2 linked regions of the Schizosaccharomyces pombe genome follow. The gene in region 2 interacts genetically with the main gene of each other region. Each region holds a gene or a part of one and is shown on either strand. Other genes may lie near its edges.

What was found.
Region 1: of mpg1 (region 2) and ogm2, extra expression of one rescues a mutant of the other (dosage rescue), as found in Schizosaccharomyces pombe (one study listed by BioGRID).

The regions. Positions count from the first base shown.
Region 1 is NC_003424.3:3,311,560-3,316,698, forward strand, and holds ogm2 (protein O-mannosyltransferase Ogm2), read left to right. Parts: upstream 1-1,862; 5' UTR 1,863-2,081; coding exon 2,082-4,301; 3' UTR 4,302-4,341; downstream 4,342-5,139. Other genes in the region: SPOM_SPAPB1E7.08C (transporter), read right to left, coding at 1-776.
Region 2 is NC_003421.2:2,010,320-2,014,527, forward strand, and holds mpg1 (mannose-1-phosphate guanyltransferase Mpg1), read left to right. Parts: upstream 1-2,172; 5' UTR 2,173-2,294; intron 2,295-2,510; 5' UTR 2,511-2,522; coding exon 2,523-3,614; 3' UTR 3,615-3,681; downstream 3,682-4,208. Other genes in the region: SPOM_SPCC4F11.05 (uncharacterized protein), read left to right, coding at 183-282, 328-470.

The sequences.
Region 1 (5,139 bases), on a different chromosome or scaffold from region 2:
CCTCCCATCGTAAACAAAAAGTATCGCCAACCCTTATTGTCTGCACGATGACAGACAGATTCATCGTCGGGACATGAAAAGTTAGAAATAAGACCCCATGATACCAAATTAGCAATCACTTGTCCAATGGCCCACCAGAAGGACATGACTGTGAGGAGCCACTGGTGAGACGAAGGTAAGGCTTCTAAAAAGATTGCCGAATCAACAGGCAAGTTACCACCCACACCAAAACTCCATAAAGCATCAAAAACACAAATGGAAGCAAAGTTAGGAGAGGCGCCAGCAATAACAGCGAACACACCGGTAAACAGAAATGTAAGGTTGAAAGCCCATCGTCTCCCAATTGTGTCAGCAGAAAGCGACCAAACCATGGCGCCTACCAATAAACCCAAATTTTGAGACAACGTTAAATAAGGAGCACGACCTTCAGCAGGAGGGTGTGGTCCATCCACTTCGTCGAGTCTCATTAAAATTAAAGATGTGCAGACAGGCCATATATTGTCAGACATCCAACCAAAGCCTGCAACAAAAAATAAATACCATTGATATCTGCCAAACCCAATTTCGTTCATTGCATTACTCAGGATACGGGATTTTGCCAAATAAGTTTTGCTAAAGTCATTACTGTCGAATAAATCGTCATCAGATTTGCTGGGCTGTATAGTAGCATCAGCCAATTCTACTGGATATACGAGCTCGGTTTCAGAAACATCTTCCTGCTTTTTGGACTCCGTAGGAGACATATCATATAATCTTGGAGGTATAGAAGAACTCATTTTTATACTGTCCAATTTATAAACATAGACAATAACAAGAAGGAAAATTAGTTCTATAATTTATATGTAATTATCAACGCAGAAACATTAACCAGATGTTATGAATGACTTCTATGAACACTGTGAAATGGTCGAAAAGGAAGGAGAAATGAGGAATTGACGCAAACAAAGAGGAAAATAGACAGAAAAGAAAAAGAAATGTAAAGAATCTCAATAAAAATTCGATAAATCTTACACGAAATACAGGTGCAAATACCTTTCTACCTAAAGATCATTAAAGGGAGCTTTCAGTCAGTCGCTGTTTGATTTGTTTCGATTCAACAAAACAGCTTGAAAGATATGGTAAAAGGAAGGAAGCTGCAAACGTAAATTTGACCTTAGAATGGTGTACTACTTCCATATTCACAATGTGTGATAAGAATGAGCTAATAAGGGATACTAGCCTGCATATCAATATCGAGTGGCAGTAAGTAGTTGTGCGCTAACCATCTTAGCAAATTCGGTAAAAAGCAGTATTTAAAGTCAGAAAAAAATATTTTGCTATTAATGGATTTCATGAGAAAATAAAGATATTGGTTTATTTTTGAATTCATAATGTTTTCAGTACCTCGATAATATGATGGAGTTCCAATATCATAAACTACTGTTAGCACTTGTGGTATAGAAATAACGATGTTAACGTGTTATTGTAATATCACTTTATATTTAAGAAGATATCATTAATTACCCTTAATAAGAATGCAATTTCTGTAACAAACCGTGGCGATTGTAACAAATAGTAGGCATACTTCAGAGTCAGTAAATAAAGTACAAGCATTGCTGGTCAAAATAATAAGACATATTATTACTAAAATATACTCACTAGTTTATGTGGTACACCTGCGATTTTTTCTGACTTCAATGTCTAAACATCGGTGCACTACGTTAGCAATCTATAGGGATAATCAGTTTGGATTACCCTAAAAAGACTTTGCATTACTTAAAATTCATAGTTATTTAAACTCTTAAAAATTGTTGGTCTCTTCGCTACACTTCTGTATTAACATTGAATTACGCAGCGATTGATACATTATTATTGCTTTCCTCAGCCAACATTTAACACTCTTTATTTGGACTTGTATTTTGTTGAGAAATTAGAGTCGAAAAGGACATCTTTTCTTCTCTAGTGATCTTTTTGTTTTCTTTTGGTATCGATCAAGTTTTGGGCTCGTTAAATTGTGTGTGTCCTGAGAAAGCAAACTCGGACTATAGGTGCATTAGCTGAAGTAAAAGCTATATTTTTGTTTGCTTGTTGTACATTGTAAAATGTCCTATGAACAGCTTCATGCTCAGTCGGGTCAGCTTCGCCAGCGCTTTCCTTCGAAGCATAGTGAGATTGAGGATGAGGTAGCAAATGAGAAGGAAGAGTTAAAAGACGCTACCAAGAGTGCTTTGGGTGAAGTTAAAACCAATAAGAAATATTACATTCTTGGTTATTTTCTCGTCCCTTTACTCTTAACCGTTATCGCTGGTTTTGTTCGTGTTTGGAAAATTGCCGATAGTAATGTTGTTATTTGGGATGAAGCCCATTTCGGCAAGTTTGCCTCGTATTATTTGAAGCATGAGTTCTATTTTGACGTTCATCCACCTTTGGGTAAGATGCTTAACGCTGTTGCTGGCAAATTGGTTGGCTATGATGGTAGCTTCGATTTCAGTTCTGGTGCTACCTATCCTGAGGATTTAAATTACAAATTTATGAGACTTTGGAATGCTGCGTTTGGAACTCTATGCATTCCTTTGGTTTATTTTACTGCATTAAACTTTAATTATTCGTTTCTAGCTGCTACATTATGCACTTTGATGGTAGCGTTGGACAATCATTTGGCTACCATCAGCCGCTTCATTCTATTAGACAGTATGTTACTTTTTTTTATTATCAGCACATTTTTCTGCTTGTCTAGATATCATGTTTATCATAAGGCTCCCTTCACCTTTTATTGGTTTAAATGGCTCTTTTTGACTGGTGTTTGCATTGGCTGCGTTTGCAGTGTCAAGCTTGTTGGTCTCTTCATTACAGCGGTTGTGGGTCTTTATACTGTTGATGAGTTGTGGTGTTTATTGAACGATAAGCGAGTTACTTGGAAGGCGTATGCTGGCCACTGGATTGCTCGCGTCTGCCTGCTTATTTTCCTCCCTATCCTTATTTATGCCTTTACTTTTTGGATCCAATTCGCTGTTCTCTACAGATCAGGACCAGGTGATGCTCAGATGCCTTCTCTTTTCCAGGCTCGCCTTGAAGGATCTCCTTTGACCAAGAATCCTATTGACCTAATGTATGGCAGTAAATTCACATTGAAGAGCAGAAATCCAACTGGTGCACTTTTGCATTCTCACGTTCAAACGTATCCTGAAGGTAGTGAGCAACAGCAAGTTACTGGTTATCATCACAAAGACGGTAACAATGAGTGGATGTTTGTACCTACTCATGGTGTGGCCTATAACTATGAGGAGAACGATCCTATGAATCCTATTCTTAATGGAAGCGTAGTTCGTTTAATTCATCCTTTTACAAACCGTAATCTTCACACTCACAAAATCCCTGCCCCTCTGAACAAACGTATGTATGAAGTCTCTGGATATGGCTTGGGTGACGTCGGAGATGAAAAGGATTATTGGATTGTAAATATTTTGTATGATACTGCTCACAGAGATGCGTATAACGTACGCTCTCTTTCTACCGTCTTTCAGTTGTACAACCCGGTAGTCGGCTGCTATTTGAGTTCATCATCTTCTAGTTTACCTTCATGGGGTTTTGGGCAAATCGAAATGTATTGTGATCCCGACCCCGATCCATCAAATACTGACACTCAATGGAATGTTGAAGAGCATATTAATCCTCGTCTTCCTGAAGGAAGTATTAACGATTATCCTTCTTCCTTTTGGTCTGATTTTCTTCACCTGAATCGCGCCATGTTACGTGCTAACAATGGTCTTATTCCTGATGAAGATAAATTAGATGCCCTTCGCAGTGAAGCATATCAATGGCCCTTCCTTTTAGCAACCTTACGAATGTGCGGATGGGGCGATAACCAAATCAAATATTTGCTGGTAGGGAACCCCGTTGCTTACTGGTTTGCAACTTCTAGCTTAATTGTTTTTGCATTATTTGTTGTGGGAGCCGTTTTAGCTTGGCGTCGTCGTGTGCTAAGATGGTCTCAAGAAGCTTGTGATACTTTCCATTATGCCGGCATTTATCCATTTTTGGGCTGGTTCTTTAACTACCTACCCTACTATATTATGGGACGTGTTTTGTATGTTCATCACTACGAGCCTTCGTATGCCTTATCGACTTTCACTGCAGCCTTCGTTGTTGACTGGTTTACTAAAAAGATGCCTAAGATTGTCCGCGTAGTTGTGTTTATCTCACTTTATGCTATAATTGCCGGAGTCTTTATTTATTTCAAGGATGTAACCTTCGGCATGCATGGACCTGCATCCGACTTCCATCGCCTTCGTTGGCTTAACTCTTGGAATGTTCATGATTAATTTCAACTTATTTAAAATAATATATAACATTCAATTTCTCTGTCTTTTATCTTAATTGGTGCTTACTTTGAGTCGTAGCTTACTGCTGTTTCGTTAACAGTTGACTGTCTTTTTTTAATATTGATTTTTATTAATTTTTTGTCTTTCTTTCAGCATCATCGTTCACGCCAATTTAGTGCAGTAAAGCTCTTATATTATTGCTGGGCAAGTGGATAACAGCAATGCAGAAAAGCTGTTAATCAATTTTCCATATCCAATACTGTAATCTGTAAAAGCGTGGATTATCTATCTATCCAATATATGTACAGGTTTATCTCTAATGCTTACAGTAAATTAGATGAAATTATCAAACGAGTTAAAACTCAAATCACATTTATGATGTACTTTTCAAAACCAAAATTATCAAATTACTTTAATACAAATAATGGTGTAAAGACTTCTACTTAAACATACTGTAAATACCCTCCATAGTCCTAATTTGCATGAAAATTTAAATATGAACAATAAAACAGATGAAATACAATAATCCTGGCTCTAAAAATTGCATATCCATTTAACCTAAGCTACTAAAATAACGTTTAATAAGTAAACACATATGGATAAAAATATGTGGGAAACTTCTCTTACAGTAAACTTCATAAAGTAAAACAAGCCACTGCCTTTTAGTTTTCATTCAATCTCCTGCTGCTCCGTAAAGTCTTTGGGATGAAAAAAACCTACAAACACTAAATAAAACAGCAGTGCAACGTAAAGAATGAAATATAAAAACTTGGTTTTTTATAGCAAAGGCAGGTCACGTGATTTAGCGAGCCATAGTATCTTTTTATGTTAGTCGTTA
Region 2 (4,208 bases):
TCGGCTAAGCCATGAATGTTACCACAGTGACTCTGGAGGGTTGTTCGCTTCTTGTTGGTAATGTGCTTTAAGCTTGATTTTTTGCATGTCTGTAAACAATGGAGCAGACAGCTTGATCATCAACAAGGGAAAGGTTTCCACGTTTGCGGTTCCAAGGAGGTTGATTTAAAGTCGATGAATATATGGAGATCGATTTACTCAGTTTTTCGATTAAAAGAATACTCAACCTGAGCGCATTCATTCATATCTACAGTCGATATTTCAGACCTGACACGTTTCTTTGTTATTAAGTCAATTACCATTTTTGTATATTAACGGCTGATTTAGCTAGTAAGCAATCGATAACAATGTCTGTAAAGAAGCCATACAAGCATCCTAATTGCACAAGTGTTATTCACATTAATAGAGTAGCTATTGTTATTGAACAAGAAAAAGGCAAAAAATCAAAGCAAAACTTAATTCCCAGCTGAAAGAGTCAAATATAATAGCCGTATGACTTTTGGTGTTTAAATGAAATTGCAGAATAAAGCCCGTTAGAATCATCGTATATATATATATATATACCTACTAAGAAAAGTGCATGAATGAGCATTTACCATGCATGCATGGAATTAGAATATACTATATTTGTTGTTAAAATAAAAAATAAAGAACTGTGTTATCAAAATCTTGAATGTTTGATTAAAATTTTGCAAAGACCCATTTTAGCAAATGCTATTTTGTGTGTTTACTTTTCACATAACTATTCTTTTTTTCCCTTTAAATGTTTTTATTCCATCATTTGTAATATAAAGACATATAAATCTACTGTTTCTATATCAACTTGACCTATTTTCCTTCTCAGTTTTGCAAATTTGCAACGTTGGTGAATTCAAAGAATTGAGTACGCGAAGATGATGGATTCATTGTGTTTACACTTCCCGGGACTATAAAAATACAGTAAGCATTTACATTTTAAAATTAACTCTAAAAGTACTCGTTTTTGGAGCTTTGAAATTGGACACGTTCTTCTTCTCTTCCCTCTTCATGAGAACACCTCCATTTCGCAATTAATCGAAAAGACAGTTTTTGAAAGATGTTGTTTCCTCTTGGGGTTTTAAAAGTTAACTAACAAGAGGTATCCAAAAGGATAGGACAAGCGTTACTGCAGAATTACTATTCCAGATTTAACCTGCGTATTATGTTTCAACATTAAAAAAAAAGTTCAGCAGAATTAAACAATCGAGTGTGACCTCGTTGTAAGTCTTTAGAAACGATCATCAAGCTTCTTTTCTTTAGACTATATTCACTAGTACATGGATTGACAATCTTGACACTGTACATGAAAATTTCTATCCCAAGCCGTAATTATATGGCTTTAATCGACAAGAATACTTCGTTAACCCCATCATCGGTGTTTCTTGTGTTTCAACCTTTAATGCATTGTTATAAAGTCTTTGATTGGAAAGTTATCACCAGTGTTGCGAACGATGTTAATATATTGTTCTTGTATTAAGCATTTTGCTGCTTCGACCATCGACACACCTCTTCCTTTACTAAATATAAACAACTTCCAGAGTATTTGCCTTCTCTCCATCCTTCATTTCAGCATGACTTTCTTCAAGTCAAGTCTTTGAGCACATATTTCCTTCAGCTCGTACACGTTCTTACAATTGTTTTGTTTGAATATATCCAACACCTCGTTTGCAACAACCGTCGACATGCATCTCCAATGGAAGACCGAAAAGTAAACAAAGCAACATTTTACTTGTTTACCTTTTGTTGCGTCATTATTTGCTCTTTTTAAAATAGCTTTGATACCTCGTTTACCACCGTGGATAAAATTTTGTCTGGCTTATGGATGACCGGAAACTAGTCGTCTCATCTCATTTTCAATGATTCAATTAACAGTTTCCTATAACATTGGATATGGATTTTTGATGGTGCCTTAATGTGTACATCTGACACATCAAGGAGGTACTAAAGTAATGTCCTTTCGGAAAATTTCGTTAGACCAGATATTGGCCTGTTACTCAAAATTTACACAAGTATTAGCGAGCTGAACGAATCCTGCTTTGTTAACTAATTATGTGTTAACGCATGAAACAATGCTGCGCCCATGTGCACGTGACGGTACTCTCCCTTCCCTTTGTTGATGAAGAGCCGAGGAACCCGCCCTCAGCTTTACAAACCTGCCTCCTCCCAACACCATCCCATAGCATACAAATAAGTGGGACTTTCAAGTTAAAACTTGTTCAAAGGTTTCTAACCAGTGTTTTTAATTTTAAATAGAAACACTTTCTTTTCATAAAAAGGTATGTTCTTTTTTATATTGTTTTCGTTAGTATATGGAAATTGGAGTAGTGAAAGAAAGAACGTGGATTCCTTTTGTGATTTGACGTTTCACTTGATATGCGGTTGCGTGGACATGACTAACATTGAAACCGCATGCTAGAGTGTCCCTTTTTTTCCTTGTTCCATTTTTTTCTCCTCTTGATTATTCCCTTACTAACTGAGGGTTGTCTTTTTAGTTATCGTACAATATGAAGGCTCTGATTCTCGTGGGTGGCTTTGGTACTCGTCTTCGTCCTTTGACTTTAACTTTGCCCAAGCCTCTTGTTGAATTTGGTAACAAGCCGATGATCCTTCACCAAGTCGAAGCTTTGGCAGCTGCTGGTGTCACGGATATCGTCTTGGCTGTTAATTACCGTCCCGAAATCATGGTAGAAGCTTTGAAAAAATACGAAAAGGAGTATAACGTTAATATTACTTTCTCCGTTGAGAATGAGCCTTTGGGAACCGCTGGACCTTTGGCTCTTGCTCGTGACATTCTTGCTAAAGACCACTCTCCTTTCTTCGTCTTGAATAGTGATGTTATTTGTGAGTATCCTTTCGCGGATTTGGCAGCTTTCCATAAGGCTCATGGTGCCGAGGGTACTATCGTTGTTACCAAGGTTGAGGAGCCTTCTAAGTATGGTGTTGTCGTTCATTATCCCAACTCAGAATCCTTGATTGAGCGCTTTGTTGAAAAGCCTGTTGAGTTTGTATCCAACAGAATTAATGGTGGTATTTACATTCTAAACCCTTCCGTTCTTGACCGTATTGAACCTCGTCCTACCTCGATTGAAAAGGAAGTCTTTCCCGCCATGGTCAATGACAAGCAATTACACTCTTTCGACCTTGAGGGTTATTGGATGGATGTTGGTCAACCCAAGGATTATCTTACCGGTACTTGTTTGTATTTATCCTCCTTGCGTAAGCATAAGCCTGAAATCTTGGCCCCAGCTAGTAGCAATATCATCGGTAATGTGTTGATTGATCCCTCAGCAACCATTGGCAAAAATTGTAAAATTGGTCCCAATGTTGTGATTGGTCCCAACGTAACGATTGGTGATGGTGTTCGTCTCCAACGTTGTGCCATTCTTAAGTCTTCTCGCGTTCGCGACCATGCCTGGGTTAAATCGAGTATTGTAGGATGGAACTCTACCCTTGGATCTTGGAGTCGTTTGGAAAACGTGTCCGTCTTAGGCGACGATGTCGTTGTCAATGACGAGATTTACGTAAATGGTGGCAGTATTTTACCCCATAAGAGCATTAGTGCTAACATTGAGGTTCCTGGTACTATTGTCATGTAAAAGAATTCTTAGATGCCGCACTATCACTCCTACTGTTCCATTGTCCACTCTTATTTTCTTTCTTTCTAGTCCTTTGTCTTTGCGTCTTTTTTTCTAATTCGCTAAAGTAATTTTAATCACTCTTCCTGATTTATCACTTTCTTTCTATCTCCTTCTTTCTTCGCCTTGTTCTTCTTTTACTGGCTTTGGAAGAACTCGTGCATTTTACTTGTGTTTATAGGTGCATCCCAGTTCTATATATGAGATATCAGTATGTTGTTTCATTCTCAACTTGGAATTGAATATTAAAAGCAAGTCAACTAATAAATTCACATTTGCCGCTATGTTATCAACGATCTATGTAAACCATTGCCTTTTCTTTGTCATGCTTCACTTTATTTATCCTGCTGTTTTGGTATTACTGTATCAAACAAAGATTTTTCTTTTGAAGGGATGGATAGATTTATTTAAGGCGTTGATCTACTATTTGTATATAGTGTTGACAGAAGTAGCTTCGTATACACATGCATAGTTTTCGAGCTGCAGTTATTTAACTTACTGTGGGTAATACTAATCTATGTTTCTTATCATTTTTTCAATTCAAACCCTTTAATC